Linked DNA regions of Arabidopsis thaliana. The protein of the gene in region 1 purifies or fractionates together with the protein of each later gene. This does not show direct contact. Each region holds a gene or a part of one and is shown on either strand. Other genes may lie near its edges. The genes, in order: FUM1 and IAR4.

Region 1 (10,232 bases):
CCAATTTAAACAACTGACAATCTTCAACCAACAACAAGAAGATATAGAAGTAAGCACTACACTGCCCACCATTTCTTTGAGTTTAGGATAGCACAGATTCTGAGTGTATCTGCTGTTCTTTATGTTTATTAGGGACTAAGACAGACGCTCTACACAACAAGGGCTGGTATGCAATTTATGCAGAAGAAATTTCAAGAAGAGTTCTCTTCTCTTGGTATTCAGATCTTTCTTCTCTTACTTTCTAAGAAAGTTTTTTTTGGATATCCAAGAATTTGACACTAATGAATCTATATCTGTCTACAGGTATGCACGTTCATGGCCTTGCTCATGCTGCTTCTGGCTATCACCGAGTTCTTGAAGAAAACCGAAAACTTTATAATCAAGTGCAGGATCTCAAGGGTAGCATCCGTGTTTATTGTCGGGTGCGGCCATTTTTGCCTGGACAATCCAGCTTTTCTAGTACAATTGGGAACATGGAGGATGATACCATAGGGATCAATACTGCATCTAGACATGGAAAATCACTCAAATCCTTCACTTTCAACAAAGTCTTTGGCCCATCTGCAACTCAAGGTAATGTAATTGAAATGCCTTGCTGTTATTCTCTAGTGATTGAATTTAACCTGAAGGATCTATCTTGCTCTTTGTAGAAGAGGTATTTTCTGATATGCAGCCATTGATCCGTTCTGTTCTTGATGGATACAATGTCTGCATATTTGCATATGGTCAAACTGGATCAGGAAAAACATTCACAATGGTAAGATTAGAGTTGAATAAATTTTGAAGACTGTTAACATTTGAAGCTAGAGAATTTTAATGTTTCCATTTTTGTAAATTTTCTAGAGTGGACCAAGAGATCTAACGGAGAAGAGCCAGGGAGTTAATTACAGAGCACTTGGTGATCTGTTTCTTCTTGCTGAACAAAGAAAAGACACATTCCGCTACGATATTGCAGTTCAGATGATTGAGATTTACAATGAGCAAGTTAGAGACCTTTTGGTTACTGATGGAAGCAATAAAAGATATCCTTTTTCATGAATGGATATACTTCTTAATGTTTTGATTAGATAGAGAGAGAGAGATCATTTTCATGTTTCAGTTTCATATTCCTTAACATTTTTTGGTACGTTAGAGATCAGGAATAGCTCTCAAAAGGGTCTAAGTGTACCGGATGCAAGTCTTGTTCCAGTCTCTTCAACATTTGATGTTATTGATCTAATGAAAACTGGGCACAAGAATCGAGCCGTTGGATCAACAGCCTTGAATGATCGAAGCAGTCGTTCTCATAGGTAAAAGACAAAATGTTTTCAAGAGCAGCGAGAACAAAAAATAATCTTCAAGAGTCTTACTCAATATAACATTTTTCAATCTTATTTTTTTTTGCAGCTGCTTGACTGTTCATGTTCAAGGAAGAGACTTGACTTCAGGAGCTGTGCTTCGAGGATGCATGCATCTTGTGGATCTAGCAGGCAGTGAGAGGGTAGACAAATCCGAGGTTACTGGAGACAGACTAAAAGAAGCACAGCACATCAATAGATCGCTCTCTGCTTTAGGAGATGTGATTGCTTCGCTAGCTCACAAGAACCCACATGTTCCTTACAGAAACAGCAAACTCACACAACTCCTTCAGGACTCTCTTGGTAAAAGGATACAAGTAATTTAGTCCTGAATATTTGCAGCTAAATAAAAACTCACCTTTTTCTTAACTTGGGATTGCAAATATGTTATATCAGGAGGACAAGCAAAGACATTGATGTTTGTCCACATTAGTCCTGAGGCAGATGCAGTTGGGGAAACAATAAGCACTTTGAAGTTTGCAGAGAGAGTAGCTACGGTTGAGCTTGGGGCTGCACGAGTGAACAATGATACTTCAGATGTTAAGGAACTCAAAGAACAGGTTTTTTTTTTCTCTTTTTGCATTAACTGAATCTGATGGTTTCACTTTCTTGGTTGATAGTATTTGATTGTCTCACACACATGGGCTTTTGCTTTGTTTACAGATTGCTACTCTTAAAGCAGCACTCGCGAGAAAAGAAGCAGAGTCACAGCAGAACAACATCTTGAAAACTCCTGGTGGCTCTGAGAAACACAAAGCCAAAACTGGTGAAGTAGAGGTGATTCTTCTTTTCTCAAGCACCTTCTCTATGATTTAAAATCAGATCTCAAAGTGGACATTGTTTTCTGAGTGATTGCAGATTCATAACAATAACATCATGACAAAGAAATCTGAGAGTTGTGAAGTGGAGGAGATTACAGTGAACTCACCACCTTGGCCACCAGTAGCAAGTCCAGGACAAGCCTACAGAGAGGATGACCGAAGTTTCGGGTCCAGCGAGTGGGTTGACAAGGTGATGGTGAATAACAGACAAGACGAGATGAGAAGAGTGGAGAGTCTTTGGGGAGGAGCCACAACAGAGAATGGTATTGGTATTCTGCCGGAAGATTTTTACAGGAGAGATTTGGCTTCAGACACTTCAAGAATATTCTCTGAACATTCTTACAACATCTTCATGGGAAACAACAACAGCACAGACGATCTAGATGCAGCCACAAGTGACTCATCTGAGCCAGATTTGCTCTGGCAATTCAACCAGTCCACCAAGATACCTACAAGAAGCAATATTGAGTCAAAACTCAAGAAACCCGTCTCAAAACCTATAAGAAGTCCTCAATCCAGGTAAGTGTCCTTTACTCGGTCAAAAACTAAATGAAACAACAATATAGAAAATCTTTAACAGTTTCTTTTGAATGGTTCCAAAAAAAATGCAGGAACAACTCAAACAACACGGTTTCACGTCCTTTGGCTTCACAGAAGGTAGGGAATGGTCCTCGTGGCATGAAACAGTTCGGTCCTGCTGATATGAAGCGGAAAGCTACTAACGCCAGACATTGAAGGCCACTCACTCACACGGATACATACATACACACTCACATGGCTTCTTATTGGTTTTGATTTGTTTATTTTTCATCCATTGGTTTTTATTGTTTCTTCTTCTCTCGTTTGGTTGTGCGAGCTTTTATATACATAACACAGACAAAGACAATAGCTAGACAATGCAACAACAGTTTCTTCTTGTTGCTCTCTTTCTTGGGTTTTGTTTTACTTTTCTGTTCTATGTATATTCTTCCACTAGCTGAACATAAAAAATATGAAAGATTTGTTTGTTAACTATTTGCTTGAGAGTTTTTTTAGTATATTCTATAATGCTTCAAATCAGAGACTTGTTGCATTTCTTCTAATTAGTTACAACTTTTGCAATCTTTGCTAGTATAAAAATATTTTATTAGAAATATGTAAAATTTGGGAAAGTATTATTTCACAACAGAAAAAAAAAAAGCATAGTACTTTTCAAATATCGACCAACCTTCTGATTCGTTGAATCCGTTTCTCGAATATTATAATTTTATTTTTGTTGTTTGCCCTATCTTTCTTTCTCCCTCTGCTCTTGTGCAACTTGATCCGTCGTCTTCTCTCAGCTCTCCATCTCCGTCTTCCAAGGTTTTTGTTTTTGCTATTTACGTTTACAGATTCGTAATCCTATCCTGGATTGAGAAATGCGTAGTTTGATGATTCTTCGCTCGCCTCTTTGTTGACTGCAGTTTTACTGTCAGGTAGAAGAATCCATGTCGATTTACGTCGCGTCGCGACGGCTCTCCGGCGGAACAACTGTGACGGCGCTGCGTTATGCCACCTCTCTGAGATCTTATTCGACCTCGTTTAGGGAGGAGAGGGACACCTTCGGGCCGATTCAAGTTCCTTCCGATAAGTTCGGGATCTGATCTTTACGCAACGTCGAATTTTCTCTTATCCTCGAGGGAAACGTTTCACAGTGTTTTATTTGTTGTGTGTCTCAGATTGTGGGGAGCCCAGACGCAGAGATCGCTGCAGAACTTCGAAATCGGTGGTGAGCGCGAGCGAATGCCTGAACCAATTGTCCGCGCTTTTGGCGTCTTGAAGAAATGCGCTGCCAAGGTAACATTCTAGCTCCAGGTTTTGGGGTTAATTTGCATCTGAATTCTCATTTGCTTTCTCGTATTTGGTTCTGTGATGAATTGAGTTAATATAATTTTATAGGTTAACATGGAATACGGTCTTGATCCGACGATTGGGAAAGCAATTATGCAAGCTGCTCAGGAAGTAGCTGAGGGAAAGCTCAATGATCATTTCCCCCTTGTTGTCTGGCAAACTGGTAGTGGGACTCAGAGTAATATGAATGCTAATGAGGTAATTTCTTTGCAGTTTTTGAGACATCTGTTGAGGATCTCATTGTATATAGCTAGCTACAAGAGAAGGCTTTCTGTTTATGTTTTTTCATTTTCTTTTGGCCTTGTTATTTGCTCTTCACAGGTCATTGCTAATAGAGCAGCTGAGATTCTTGGTCGCAAACGTGGTGAGAAATGTGTGCACCCAAATGACCATGTGAACAGATCACAATCTTCTAACGACACTTTTCCTACCGTAAGCTTTCATTTGCATTCCAGCTACCAATACTTTTTACATGCTTTAAGTTTTTAAAATTTTTCTTTCTTATATGTTGGCTCACTTCCCTTTCAACTTCTAATTGACGGTCTTTTTTTTTTTTTTGGCTTTTGTCTAGGTCATGCACATTGCAGCTGCAACCGAGATTAATTCGAGGCTCATCCCTAGTTTAAAAACTTTGCATAGCACTTTGGAATCTAAGGTCTGACTTTTTTCTTGCTCCTTCTTAAGTGACACACTTGATCTAGTCGCTAAACTGCAACACAAGACTCTTTAAAAATAAAACTTGCTCTGACCTCTATAGTATCATGGATCACTTCTGATATTAGTTCTGTGTGGTACTATTTGTATGTGAGAGTTGCTTTGTAGATGTTGCATTGTTGCGTTTAAGGAACATCTTCTGACCCTGCCACTTTGTTATATAATCCTGCTTTTCTAGACCTCTTCACATTCCTATTGCATTTGCACTTGGGCTTTATGGTCTATCTGCTCTGAATCCTAATTCTTTCCAAACTTACCTTGTTTCTGGCAGTCCTTCGAGTTCAAAGATATTGTGAAAATTGGAAGAACTCACACTCAAGATGCTACACCTTTGACACTAGGACAAGAATTTGGTGGCTATGCTACTCAAGTAAGTGGTTTTGTTCAGAAAACTGTGTTTGTCTAACAAAGTTGAAAATCACATACAATCTGGAACTCACCTGCAGGTTAAGTATGGACTAAATAGAGTCACCTGCACTCTTCCTCGCCTCTATCAGGTTTGGGAAATGATATCTTTTGGGGATCTGATTTCCTGTACTTCTCCAGTTTATACTGAGGTCTAACTTGCTGGAAATGTTTGGCCAGCTTGCACAAGGTGGAACTGCGGTTGGGACAGGATTAAACACTAAGAAAGGGTATATCTCATTTCTAATTTTATTTCCATAATTCCATCCCAGGTTCATCTCTCCTAAATTTGATGTTTTATTAGTGGGCTTTGTCCACTGTAGTAACACTAGTAATATCTGTACAGGTTTGATGTAAAGATAGCTGCTGCAGTAGCTGAAGAAACAAACTTGCCATTTGTCACTGCAGAAAACAAGTTTGAAGCTCTGGTAGCCTCCAAACTACCTCTATTATTTATTGACACGAAACCCATTCCTAGCTCTGCCTCTGGTGCCAACTAGACAAGATGTTCCTAAACGGTGAAATCAGTTGCTAAATTATTCTGCTTTTTCCAGGCTGCACACGATGCTTGTGTTGAAACCAGTGGGTCACTTAACACAATCGCCACATCGCTGATGAAGATCGCCAATGATATACGTTTTCTTGGAAGGTATGGATCTAATCTATAGGGATTATTTTTTTCTTTCTTTAACATGCACTATGTCCTTATGGTTTACCATGTCTTTATATAGTGGCCCAAGATGTGGTCTTGGTGAACTTGTACTACCTGAAAATGAGCCAGGAAGCAGTATCATGCCTGTATGAATGCAATCTTCCTTTGCTCTTCTGTCCTTTTCTTTTTCACTAGTTTTGATTCAAATGAATTTTTATCTCTTTCTCAGGGGAAGGTAAATCCTACACAGTGTGAGGCCTTGACTATGGTTTGTGCACAGGTAAGTCCCATCTATCAATACATTCTTAGTACAGACCAATGAATCTAGATGCTAAGGTTGTATTATTGTTCCTTGACTGTTTGGGTTGCAACCAATAACATTGCAGGTTATGGGAAACCATGTAGCTGTGACAGTTGGTGGGTCAAATGGTCATTTCGAATTGAATGTATTCAAGCCGGTGATCGCGAGTGCTCTTTTACATGTATGTCAATCATTTTCATTCTACGTCTGTTTCCTTGATTTTATATAAAAATATACCAGTCTTAACCATTTGATCTCGCCTCTTTGACAGTCCGTCAGATTAATAGCAGATGCTTCAGCTTCGTTCGAGAAAAACTGTGTGAGGGGCATTGAGGCCAACAGAGAAAGAATCTCAAAGCTATTGCACGAGGTAGGCTTATTCTCGTTTGTTGGTCTGAAAATTTTCCATCAAACGAAAATGATATCTGGGAACTGATTATTTTGTTCCATGTATTTATCTGTAGTCTCTTATGCTTGTGACATCATTGAATCCGGTAAGTCTCTAAATATTGAACTCCGCCTTTTTAGTCATCCGTTTTACCATTAGGATTACTAATGAATGTACTTTGATGCTGAGTTTTGGAATCCTTATCCTCTTTACCAGAAAATCGGGTATGACAATGCTGCAGCAGTTGCCAAGAAAGCTCACAAAGAAGGATGTACATTGAAGGTAAACACAAGAAACAATTTATTATAGAGAATTGAAATTGATTGGCAACAAGAGAAAGACGTTATTGCCTGCATCAGCAGTTTGATAGCAAATATATCTGCAATGCAGATTACATAAATTTATTGTAAACAGGTTCTATAGTATGTTAAACCTTGAGTTTTAATTTATCCTACAGGAAGCGGCTCTGAATTTAGGCGTGCTTACTGCGGAAGAGTTTGATACACTTGTTGTTCCTGAGAAGATGATTGGTCCCTCCGATTGATAGTTGTTTTTGGAGCCAAAGCTTCAAGTACCATTATTCTTCTGATGCTTTTATTTAGGTTATAATAAAAATGAGCAAATCCAGAAACAATTCAAATTTTCTTGGGAGGGCAACATTGTTCTTCATCTTACGGCTAAACTATGATCTTCTTTATGTATCAATTTTTTTTTTGTGTTGAATAAGAGAGTGAGTACTCAGCGAGAAGAATTTCTGAGTTTCGTTAGTCTCTCTCTCCTCGGTGGGCTCACGGTACGAGCCTTATTGGCGCTAGGATTTATTACTCTTTGGGCCGATTAAAATTGGATTGGCTTTACTGGGCTTTTGTTAGACCTCAAATTGAACGAGGCTTATGACGTAGCGTAAAGGTGTAAAAGAATACAAACATGACACACCTTTAGACGATGAAACCATGAGCGTCCTCAAGCCAACAGATTCCGCTCCGCCGCCGCCACAACCGCGGTTTCCCCGAGACTGTCTCCATGATTACATTTAATGTTCTTTTTGAAAGAAAAAAAATCTCTATACTTAACATATTAAATTTTTATTTTTATTTTTTTTTGAAGTTCAAAATTTAGGTGTTGAAAACAAAACGAGAATGAGAATCTTAAACTTAAATATGAATTGTTTCTGTGATATCATATCTAATCAAACAAAAAAAAAACATGGTGAAGACTATAAACGACGGTGTTTAGTGTGTTTGTTCTTGACAAACTATTTATATAAAGCACTGAAAACTGTTTTTAAAGACAATTGAAGCTTTACTCTTATCTGAAATATTGATGGAAACAAATTAGACTTGATTGTTAAGTAAAAAACAAGTAAATTAGCAGCATATTAATGAGTGAGCAAACCGGCCGGGAAATAAGAGATTTAATTGGAGTCTTGATAGCTCCATAAATTTCCAATATCGGTCGCCGATTGGTCGTCGGCAACCGGAATCTGATAGAATCTCATGTAATCCTCCAATGCCATCAGGTCCTCCGATAAGCTCTCTACTTGGTTTTCCGAAATCAGCTCATTTTGATTCCCCCCTGGTTTAGTATCGGCTTCTTCTTCTACTTGAGTGTTTGGGAAATTCAGTTTGGCTTTCCGGCCACGGATTTTGATGGCAGCAACGTCGTAGGCTCGAGCAGCTTCGTCGGCGGTTTTGAATGTGCCAAGCCAGACACGTACACCTTTGCTCGGGTCACGAATCTCCGCTGCCCATTTGCCCCATGGCCTCTGCCTTATCCCTCTGTACAGATTCTTCCTCTCTCGTTTCCCATCTCTTTCTTCACTCACTGTTCGAAGATATTCCCGAATCAGAAACGGATATATTAGGTTTTATAATAAAAAAACAAAACTCGAAACCAAAAGTGTTGTACCTGAGACGGGTTTACGCTTCTTCCTGCTGCTAACAGAGCCGAGTTGACTCGGTTCTGACTCAGATTTCGACCAGATGAAATCAGAAATGATAGCTCCCCCACACATTTTTGTTTTTTGTTTTTTACGCTTCCAACTCCAAACTAGAACAAGACGTATTTGCGTTTTCGTTTTTGAACCGAGTCCTAAAAGAGAAAGAGAATTTGGGTTTTATATAGTGAGACAATGTCAGAGTTGTTGCTGTTTTTGCTTGACGACCAAGTTCTTCTAGAAACTTTTATTAATATCATCTACTTTATTTACTGTGTGCTCTATAACCTTTTGCAACTACCATTAACAACTTATAAATAATAATAAGTTAATTAATCATAGAATTTGCAGTTATCATTTGAACCATAACGCTTTCTTAATTATTTCTACTCCCACATCAAATACTATATTACATGGCGTAATATTAATTCCTACCAAATTCTTCTATTTGTTTTAGTTAATTTATCTAATCATGCATGTAAATACGTATTTATAAATACTTCACTCAAGAATTAACCACAAAACAGTAATTCCTTCCTTCTCAATTCGGATCCTAGCTTGGTGTAGTGTGATGAGTAATAATTATCAAAACATTTCTCGATCAATATTATTAGGTTTTGGTGGGGAAATATAAAAATTTAAACGTGCACCCAATTATGTCTCTTCTCTTCCGGCCAACATCTAGTTGACACTTGTCCTATATAATCTTAAGATACTTCTGTCGACATTGTGTTCCACATATATAAAGGAGGCCATGTCTTGTGATCAGACCTTAAACAACCAACAACAGACGAGCAACTACTAACAATGGCATCCACAGGCGCCGCCACTAACCTCCTCCTCCTCGCGATGGTGGTGGTTGTGGCTACTGCCGATTACTATGCGCAACCACAACCTTACGTTCCCAAACCAACAACCACCTACACATCACCGGTTAAGACTCCATACTTGCCAAAATCAAACCCTGACATCGCCATCGAAGGTTTCATCTTGTGCAAATCTGGCTACAAAACCTACCCCATCCAAGGTGCAACTACATTTTCGATTTCACATTATATGTGTTACATCCCATGACATCTTACCAAACCGGTGATGTACTTGACAGGGGGCAAGGTTAAGGTTGTGTGTCCTGTCGTGGATTCATATGGAAAGCTAGTGGCTAAGGTTACAATCTCTAGCTACCCAACGGACTTGAAGGGATACTTCTACTTCATCACGTACGGACTCTCACACAAGGTGAATAACATCAGCAGCTGCAAAGTGAAACTCGAGAGCTCTCCGGTCTTCACGTGTAAGACTCCGACCAATGTCAACAAAGGTGTCACCGGAGCTCCACTCTCTCCCGACAACTCCAAGTTCCTTAGCCACGACAACTTGACCCTCTACACCCTTGAACCTTTCTATTTCTCAAGTCCAGTGGCTCCCAAACCCGTTTACTAGGGATCACAATCAGTCATTATATCGCGGTTTATTTGTATTCTCATTCTTTTTTATTAATCTTGGCTATCCTTTTGCTATGTTGAATAATAATACATTAATGAAATATTACTTAGTTTCCTAATAAGAAAAAGCTGTCAACAAGAAAAGAAAAGAGAATGCATATAAGATGTTACTTGGATGATTAATTCCAATATACTGATATAACAAAATCGTTACATTTCAGTGAAAATCTTTCATCCAATATGTGTCTGATTGAAAAAGATTGGTTTTAGCCATTACTGTCATAAATTATTACCTTAAAACCACCTTTAAAGAAATACTTGGTAGATTTAACAAATTATTTAAAGATAATATTTTTTGTTTTATCCC
Region 2 (8,874 bases), on another chromosome or scaffold:
CCCTCAAGGTGCTGAAGACCAAGAAGACGTTGTCAAGTCCATGAACCAGAATGTAAAGAGCGGTAGTTCAAGTGCTGGCGAGAGTGAGGGAAGTCCTCACAATTACGCTAGTGTTGCCGACTCTAGACGCTCAAAGTCATCTCGAAAAGCTAATGAACATAGTCAGTTGGGGCAAACTAGTAATTCGGAGAGGGATGGCGCCGCTGGTAGGACATCAGATGCCTTATGTGAGACTGCTCAGCATGAGAAAATGCTGAAGAATGTAGTTACGTCTGATGAAAAGCCTGAAAGCAAGCAAGCTGTTTCTATTGAGCGTGCACACGATTCAACTGCTCTCGCTGTGGATGGATTATTAGATCAAAGTAATGGAGGAAGCAGTATAGTACACATGACCGGTAACACCTCAAAATCTTGCTTAGAAGTTAGTTCTCTTGGAATTTTTCATTTTCTTTGTACAGTTAATGAATAGTTTCCTCTTTACTTGGTCAGGACATTGCAATAATAATCTGAAGCCTGTGACCTGTGGAACAGAGTTGGAGTTGAAAATGAATGATGGTAATGGGCCAAAATTAGAGGTATAGTTTCAGTGAAGCACGTTTTAGTCCCATCATCTTATATTTTGATCTGATACTTTCTATATAGATGACTCATTTCAAATGAAGGACCGAATTTTGTTGATATGGAACAATATCTCCCATTGTTTGCACTTGGTGCTTAGGTCCTTCATATGGAACTTAGATAGTTTTAAAATTTGAAGTTACACACCCTTAGTTCTGTGTTAACCAAGAGGTGGTACTGATAAACTTTGTCTCACAGGTTGGTAACAAGAAGTTATTGACAAATGGGATCGCGGTAGAAATAACAAGTGACCAAGAGATGGCAGGAACATCCAAAGTTGAAAGAGAAGAAGGTGAACTTTCTCCAAATGGAGACTTTGAGGAAGATAATTTTGCAGTTTATGCAAAAACTGATTTTGAGACCTTCAGCAAAGCGAATGATAGTACTGGAAATAACATTAGCGGAGATAGAAGTAGAGAAGGGGAACCATCTTGTCTGGAGACAAGGGCTGAGAATGACGCTGAAGGTGACGAAAACGCCGCAAGATCATCAGAGGACAGCAGAAATGAATATGAGAACGGTGATGTTTCTGGAACGGAATCTGGTGGTGGTGAAGATCCGGAGGATGATTTGGATAACAATAACAAAGGAGAAAGCGAAGGTGAGGCTGAATGTATGGCTGATGCACATGATGCTGAAGAAAATGGGTCTGCCTTACCCGTTTCAGCACGATTCTTGCTGCATGTAAAGCCCTTAGTAAAGTATGTTCCTTCAGCTATAGCTTTGCATGACAAGGACAAAGACTCTCTGAAGAACTCCCAAGTTTTCTATGGAAATGATTCGTTTTACGTGCTTTTCAGGCTGCACCGGGTAAGAGCTAAAGATCATATACAGTTTGAAAAAATTATAAACAGTATAATCTAAAGTACAAAGAGTTTTCACTAGCTAACTTTACGCTATTACTCTTGACAGATATTGTATGAGAGAATACTATCAGCAAAAGTTAACTCATCATCCCCGGAAGGAAAGTGGAGGACCTCAAATACCAAAAATCCTACTGATTCCTATGCTAGGTGAAATTTGCTTTTTATTGCAGAGATTGTGTGTGTTTCTGGGATTCATATGTGCTCCATACTTATAACTTTAATTAATGTGGAACAGATTCATGACTGCACTCTACAACTTACTTGATGGTACATCTGATAATGCCAAGTTTGAAGATGACTGCCGAGCGATAATCGGGACTCAGTCTTATATTCTCTTCACATTGGACAAACTGATCCATAAATTCATCAAGCATGTGAGTATTTTTGCTCTTTGATGTTTTCTCTATGTATTCACCTCTCTATCTTTACTTGCTTTTTACTAACATACGTGTGGTCATTCTTCAGCTACAAGTAGTAGTAGCTGATGAGATGGACAACAAGCTTCTTCAGCTTTATTTTTATGAGAAATCCAGAAGGCCTGAAACGATTTTTGATGCTGTGTATTACGATAATACCCGTGTCCTCCTCCCTGATGAGAATATTTACCGTATTGAATGTGTAAGTTTTTGCTGCATCTTACATTAGCTACTTATATTCTGTCGATGCACTGCTGATCATGCTTTTGGACTCCAAAACCTCATGTGTATGCAGAGATTATCAACCCCAGCGAAACTCTCTATTCAGCTTATGTGCAACGGTCTTGATAAGCCCGATGTGACATCTGTATCCATTGACCCGACCTTTGCAGCTTATCTCCACAATGACTTCCTCTCCATACAACCAAATGCAAGGGAGGATCGCAGAATCTATTTAAATAGGTAAATGTAAAACATGAACAAATGACTGTCCCTTGATCTCTGAAACCTAGTGGGTCACTCATCAAAGCCAATGCCATTTTTCGTTTTCTCCAGGAACAAGCGCAAAGTTTGTCGTGAAGATGAACAGTTATACAGCACAGATGAAGTTAAGATCAAAAATGGTTTGGAGTGTAAGATAGCTTGCGGTTCTTCAAAGGTAACACTTTTATCTTCTTCCCTATATCACGCTTACCGCTTATGAGTATATCCATGAGAGACCAGCACTTGAAAGCACGTTCTTGAAAATCTCTTGCAGGTCTCCTATGTACTAGAAACAGAAGATTTGTTGGTGCGAGTTAAAAAGAGAAGAAAAACTTTGTGCCACAATCAGGATTCTTGGGTAAGGCAAATGAGGTTACAATATTACAAAAATAACTTCTTGTGACCAGCCTGTAACAATCTGGAAGAAGGATACCAAATCAACTCAACTTGTTCATTCACTCTCCAACTTAACAGAGACAAAACAAAAACAAAAGTGGCAATTCTCCATTGTTGACTTCACCGGATAGAGCCAAACTGCATTCTCTATCTTCATAAGAAGAAGAAGCAACAAAGGATTTGGCTTTTTGTTGTCTGTGACTGAAAAAGAAAACAATCACTCACAAAAATGATGTTACATATGTAAAGTTTGTCTTTATTCACTCTCTTGTTGTAAAGTTTTGTATGTTGTTGTAACATTTATCAAAAATTTCATTTTGTTATGGTATGTTATATAGAAATGAGTCAAATGACCATAAAAGGTTTGACCTTTTCCATAAACGACGCTTCGCCCTCTCCTAACTCTTTCCCTCACTTTAAAAAGATTCGATTTTTGACTGCAAAAAAGAGAATTTCTAAAAGCAAATCGGAGAGCTTCGGCGATGGCGTTATCACGACTTTCTTCACGATCCAACACTTTCCTAAAGCCGGCGATTACCGCCTTGCCCTCCTCCATCCGCCGTCATGTTTCCACAGACTCATCACCGATCACAATCGAAACCGCCGTCCCTTTCACATCGCATCTATGTGAATCACCGTCACGCTCCGTCGAGACTTCATCGGAGGAGATCTTAGCCTTTTTCCGTGACATGGCTCGGATGAGGAGGATGGAGATCGCAGCAGATTCTCTTTACAAGGCGAAGCTGATCCGTGGGTTCTGTCATTTGTACGATGGTCAAGAGGCTTTAGCGGTGGGAATGGAAGCGGCGATTACCAAAAAAGATGCGATTATCACATCGTATCGTGATCACTGTACTTTCATTGGTCGTGGTGGGAAGCTTGTTGATGCTTTCTCTGAGCTTATGGGGAGAAAAACTGGTTGTTCTCATGGTAAAGGAGGATCTATGCATTTCTATAAGAAAGATGCTTCCTTTTATGGTGGACATGGGATTGTTGGTGCTCAGATTCCATTGGGATGTGGTTTGGCTTTTGCTCAGAAGTATAATAAGGATGAGGCTGTGACTTTTGCTTTGTATGGTGATGGTGCTGCGAATCAGGGACAGTTGTTTGAGGCCTTGAACATTTCGGCTTTGTGGGATTTGCCTGCGATTCTTGTTTGCGAGAATAACCATTGTGAGTTTATTTTTTGGTTAATTGTAATTTGTTTGGTGGAATTGTTGAGACTTTTGTGTTGATTTGGATTGTTTGATGTTTAGATGGAATGGGAACGGCTACATGGAGGTCGGCTAAGTCTCCGGCTTATTTCAAGCGTGGAGATTATGTTCCTGGCTTGAAGGTGAGACTGAGTTGTCTTTTGGCATGATCTTGAGCTTTACAATGCTTTTGCTTTGATGAGACTGAGTTGTCTATAGCACGCTTTTAGTTGATACAGGGTTTCCTTGTGTGTTTTAGACCACTGGGTCGACTATGGAACAGCTAGGTAGTGAGGATAGGGTTTTAGACACAAATTGAATGAGAAAGGACAAACCTTCACAGTTGTGTGTTCGGATCAAGTGTAACTTTGTGAGAACTACCAAAAGGAATTGTCTCCAAAGTCTCTATCTTTGTTGTTTTACAGAAGTTGCTTCAGTTTTTTATTACTTTACCCAATAGAATTGTATCCGTTGTTTTTCTGATTGGTGAGAGTGTGAACTTAAAGCTAACGAATGATTATCTTTTGCTTTGTTTTCTAGGTGGATGGTATGGATGCACTGGCTGTGAAACAGGCGTGCAAGTTTGCCAAGGAGCATGCTCTCAAGAATGGTCCTATTGTAAGTATTACAGCTGCTCCTGTTGGTTTTATGAAATCGATACCTAATCAATATGACTCTTAGCATTTTATGCAAATTAAGAATTCGTAGAATCATTTATTACTTGCATGTGTGATGCTACTTTGGTTGGGGAGAATGGTTAGCTGGTAACTTCTACCTAGCCTAGATTTGGATTGAACGAGGTTTATTTGGAGAAAACAAGACTTCTTAAGTACCTATGTTGTTAATTTGTTTGCTGTTTCCGGGAGAGTGTGACAGGCGTGATTGACAAGCTCCTAGGATTTCTATTAAAAGTACTAGATAAGTAGATATCACTAATATCTCTTGGAGTTTTTGGTGTGTACCTACTTATGAAGTGAAATTATACCATGTTGACTTCAGCTTCCAACCAATTTTCCTTTTTTGCATTTTGTCACCAACACAAATGGGACAAGCATTTTGGATCTTGTGAATTCAATCACATAGCGTTGACATTTATCGTATTTTTATAATCCATTCTCTACCTAGTGATTATGACCAACATACCATTGCCATTATTTGCGCAGATCCTTGAGATGGACACTTACAGATACCACGGTCACTCTATGTCTGACCCAGGAAGCACTTACCGTACTCGTGATGAAATCTCTGGCGTGAGACAGGTTAGTTCTTTGTTCATTTGTAAGACTACTGCTCCAACCATATGCAATTTGAAACTTTTTAATCTGTAAAGTTTTCATCGGTGTTACCTTTAGGTGCGTGATCCAATTGAAAGGGTGCGAAAGTTGCTCTTAACTCATGACATAGCTACCGAAAAAGAGCTTAAGGTACCCTGTTCACCACCTTCCCATTCCAGACAAAAAGCTTGAAAAAAATTATACATACAACCATCAAACTTGACTATGGAAATGACAAAATTCTTTTGACATTAAAGGACATGGAGAAAGAGATAAGGAAAGAAGTAGATGACGCCGTAGCTCAGGCCAAGGTAATAATCTTAATTGTTTCTATCTTTGTCCTTGTTATTTATCAAAACACGAACTAATTCCTTGCTGTTTAACTTGTTTCAGGAGAGCCCGATACCAGATGCATCTGAGCTATTCACAAACATGTACGTGAAAGACTGCGGAGTTGAGGTACTATCACATCCCACTCTTTCACATCTATTTATTTCTTTTGTAACCCTGTGGCGTTGGTAGTTGTTGGCATATGAATCTAGAGATTTACGCATTTTCCTCCATTGAAATTTGCAGTCGTTTGGAGCAGACAGAAAAGAACTCAAAGTAACACTTCCATAGAATCTTGCTTCCCAAGGAGATGATTGGTTCAATAAATCAGAAGGCAAGGCTACACAAATCTTTTTAACTTGCTACCAAAAATATTTCTGGTTTTTTTTTTTTGTATTTTCATTTCAAGTGTAAAGCCATTGCTTCACCAGTTTGCCAACTTTTGTTTCCCACACTTCAATTTGACACCAAGCAAAAGAAGCTTCGGATATCACTCTGTGAGATAAAGTTAGAGAAATAAGCAGAGAGTAGTTAAGAGAAAGATCATCAGCTTCTTTGTCTCAAGTAGAAAAATGTCGACATGTGATTACAAAATCATCAAGACCCCGTGTTAAATTCGTTATCTAATATATATAAAAATAAAAAGGCAAAACCAACTTCTGCGTCGGTACCAATAAAACCACATGAATAGTTATGTCTCCACCACCTAACTTGAATAATCTTTGCTTCTACTCTACAAGTCCCTTTCTCATCATCCCCCACATCAACACCAAATCTTATTGAATAGGTAAACTCTATGACGCCACTCACTCTCTTTCTTAATACTTAAATTAGATTAGATTTCTTGCAACAACTAATCACTACAAAAGAACATTGATGATTGATTGCTTTTTCCTTTGTTAACCAAGCATTTGGTTCTCTCTGTAAGCCAATAGAAACCAAACAAACCTTTGCTTAGTTTTTTACTCGGTAAATAATTAGTTTGACAAGTAACAAGTTTATATATTATATAGTGTTCAGTGTTTTAACTTATTCAAGAATATTCTCTCTATATCATCAAATCAAATATGTTCAACGGAATCTTCATCGTGTTCTCTTCTCATATCCGAGAAAAAGTCCTTAAGAAAAACTCGAGAAAGTGATACATGAATGGTATTATTGAAAATGTTATTCATATAATAAGATGTTACGTCTGACCATGAGCTGCACTACCCAACGGGAATATTCGGATTTAATTGGCTTGGTAGTCGCTACCAACAGCCCAATAATATATATACTAACACTAAGAAGAGAACAAAACTTCAACTTTAATATCCCAATAAAATGTGCCGACAACAAAAACATATATATTTTCTAATGAAATTTCTGAGAAAACAAATTATGAATGATAGTCACGAGTCTTATTCGTCGGTGAAACCATAGTTTAAAAAACTATCCTAACATTTGATATTGATTTCTCTTAAAATTCTTGTACTAGTTTCTACAAATTGTGAAATTGCATTAACTTTTATAACAGTAAATCATTGTTAAATGATTGAGACATGTGAGTGAATCTATAGTTTCCTTGTTTGGTTGTACAAAATCCAGTGCTTTTCTCTACCGTTTTGTTATGTAAAAGGAAATTATTCAATTTTCCTTAACATTCTTTAGGAAAAATATATACTCTTTATGAACATATACCTTGCTTGTCTGTCAAAAATCTGATATCTATAAAATTAAAGGCAAAAAAGGATAGTATTATTTTTATTTATTTTCCAAAAACATTCCTGGGGAAATATTGTCTAGGGTAATTATTGCTTATTATGCTTGCCAGTACGAAAATCACAAAAAATAAAACATTTTTCCACTGGCAAACAAACATTTATTAGCAAACATTTTTCCAATGCCATTACTACATTACAAGCAAATAGGTGTGCAGCGCACGTGACAAGTTGAGTTCTCATCGTTTAATCTCAACCGTCCAATTACCAAAAAGCGAATCATCCAGCTGTTTCCCTCGACCTACACAGCTGGCACCGCCTTAATGGGCCAAGACCTTAAAACTCACCTAAATCTTGTAGTAATTAACCTTTTCGTTAATTACAGTCTTAGGGATTTGTTTCTTCAACACTTTCCCTTAACGACTAAGCCTTAATGACGTCTCACGCGTTTTTTTAATACGCGCGTGATTCGTATTCTCCTAATTTAGGAAAACAAAATCATCAAAAGTTAAAGGCAATGACAATGAGCAAAAATGACTCTTTCATAACCAATCTTTCTTCTTCTTCTTCTTCTTCTTCTTCCTCTTTCCTTATCTCTCCATCTCTGTGGAGAGACACAAAACTTCCAAAAAGGAACATTCTTTCAGTTCTTTACTTAATCTTTCACAATGCTAAATCATTAGCCGTTGATAAAGTCTTAATCTTTGATTCATTCAAACGCGTTTTTGTTTAGTAATGTCGTCGCGTTTTTCTTTGACGGTGGTGTGTTTGATTGCTCTGTTACCGTTTGTTGTTGGTATACGGTTGATTCCGGCGAGGATCACGAGTGTCGGTGATGGCGGCGGCGGAGGAGGTAATAATGGGTTTAGTAAACTTGGTCCGTTTATGGAAGCTCCGGAGTATAGAAACGGCAAGGAGTGTGTATCTTCATCAGTGAACAGAGAGAACTTCGTGTCGTCTTCTTCTAGTTCTAATGATCCTTCGCTTGTTCACATCGCTATGACTTTGGACTCAGAGTATCTCCGTGGATCAATCGCAGCCGTTCATTCTGTTCTTCGCCACGCGTCTTGTCCAGAGAACGTCTTCTTCCATTTCATCGCTGCTGAGTTTGACTCTGCGAGTCCTCGTGTTCTGAGTCAACTCGTGAGGTCGACTTTTCCTTCGTTGAACTTTAAAGTCTACATTTTTAGGGAAGATACGGTGATCAATCTCATATCTTCTTCGATTAGACTAGCTTTGGAGAATCCGTTGAACTATGCTCGGAACTATCTCGGAGATATTCTTGATCGAAGTGTTGAACGAGTCATTTATCTTGACTCGGATGTTATAACTGTGGATGATATCACAAAGCTTTGGAACACGGTTTTGACCGGGTCACGAGTCATCGGAGCTCCGGAGTATTGTCACGCGAACTTCACTCAGTATTTCACTTCCGGGTTCTGGTCAGACCCGGCTTTACCGGGTCTAATCTCGGGTCAAAAGCCTTGCTATTTCAACACAGGAGTGATGGTGATGGATCTTGTTAGATGGAGAGAAGGGAATTACAGAGAGAAGTTAGAGCAATGGATGCAATTGCAGAAGAAGATGAGAATCTACGA

The links.
Region 2: the proteins of FUM1 (region 1) and IAR4 purify together in Arabidopsis thaliana (affinity purification with mass spectrometry, with the first as the bait; one large-scale study listed by BioGRID). This does not show direct contact.

The regions. Positions count from the first base shown.
Region 1 is NC_003071.7:19,494,990-19,505,221, forward strand, and holds FUM1 (fumarase 1), read left to right. Parts: upstream 1-3,239; 5' UTR 3,240-3,499; intron 3,500-3,514; exon of another isoform or gene 3,515-3,600; 5' UTR 3,601-3,624; coding exon 3,625-3,767; intron 3,768-3,855; coding exon 3,856-3,973; intron 3,974-4,075; coding exon 4,076-4,225; intron 4,226-4,348; coding exon 4,349-4,459; intron 4,460-4,598; coding exon 4,599-4,682; intron 4,683-5,012; coding exon 5,013-5,111; intron 5,112-5,187; coding exon 5,188-5,238; intron 5,239-5,326; coding exon 5,327-5,376; intron 5,377-5,492; coding exon 5,493-5,574; intron 5,575-5,700; coding exon 5,701-5,795; intron 5,796-5,877; coding exon 5,878-5,944; intron 5,945-6,027; coding exon 6,028-6,078; intron 6,079-6,184; coding exon 6,185-6,280; intron 6,281-6,370; coding exon 6,371-6,469; intron 6,470-6,563; coding exon 6,564-6,593; intron 6,594-6,703; coding exon 6,704-6,769; intron 6,770-6,944; coding exon 6,945-7,031; 3' UTR 7,032-7,499; downstream 7,500-10,232. Other genes in the region: AT2G47500 (P-loop nucleoside triphosphate hydrolases superfamily protein with CH (Calponin Homology) domain-containing protein), read left to right, coding at 1-49, 133-214, 304-573, 651-757, 844-1,022, 1,128-1,289, 1,387-1,640, 1,734-1,897 and 3 more; ERF71 (Integrase-type DNA-binding superfamily protein), read right to left, coding at 7,902-8,311, 8,396-8,501; AT2G47530 (Pollen Ole e 1 allergen and extensin family protein), read left to right, coding at 9,231-9,450, 9,529-9,863. UniProt on the Arabidopsis thaliana protein: Catalyzes the reversible stereospecific interconversion of fumarate to L-malate. Catalyzes the hydration of fumarate to L-malate in the tricarboxylic acid (TCA) cycle to facilitate a transition step in the production of energy in the form of NADH.
Region 2 is NC_003070.9:8,557,770-8,566,643, reverse strand, and holds IAR4 (thiamine diphosphate-binding fold (THDP-binding) superfamily protein), read left to right. Parts: upstream 1-3,141; 5' UTR 3,142-3,261; coding exon 3,262-3,952; intron 3,953-4,035; coding exon 4,036-4,115; intron 4,116-4,512; coding exon 4,513-4,590; intron 4,591-5,135; coding exon 5,136-5,231; intron 5,232-5,324; coding exon 5,325-5,396; intron 5,397-5,503; coding exon 5,504-5,557; intron 5,558-5,639; coding exon 5,640-5,705; intron 5,706-5,822; coding exon 5,823-5,867; 3' UTR 5,868-6,224; downstream 6,225-8,874. Other genes in the region: SNL3 (SIN3-like 3), read left to right, coding at 1-395, 490-575, 817-1,428, 1,531-1,631, 1,720-1,858, 1,950-2,102, 2,196-2,362, 2,456-2,558 and 2 more; LGT9 (Nucleotide-diphospho-sugar transferases superfamily protein), read left to right, coding at 8,012-8,874. UniProt on the Arabidopsis thaliana protein: The pyruvate dehydrogenase complex catalyzes the overall conversion of pyruvate to acetyl-CoA and CO(2).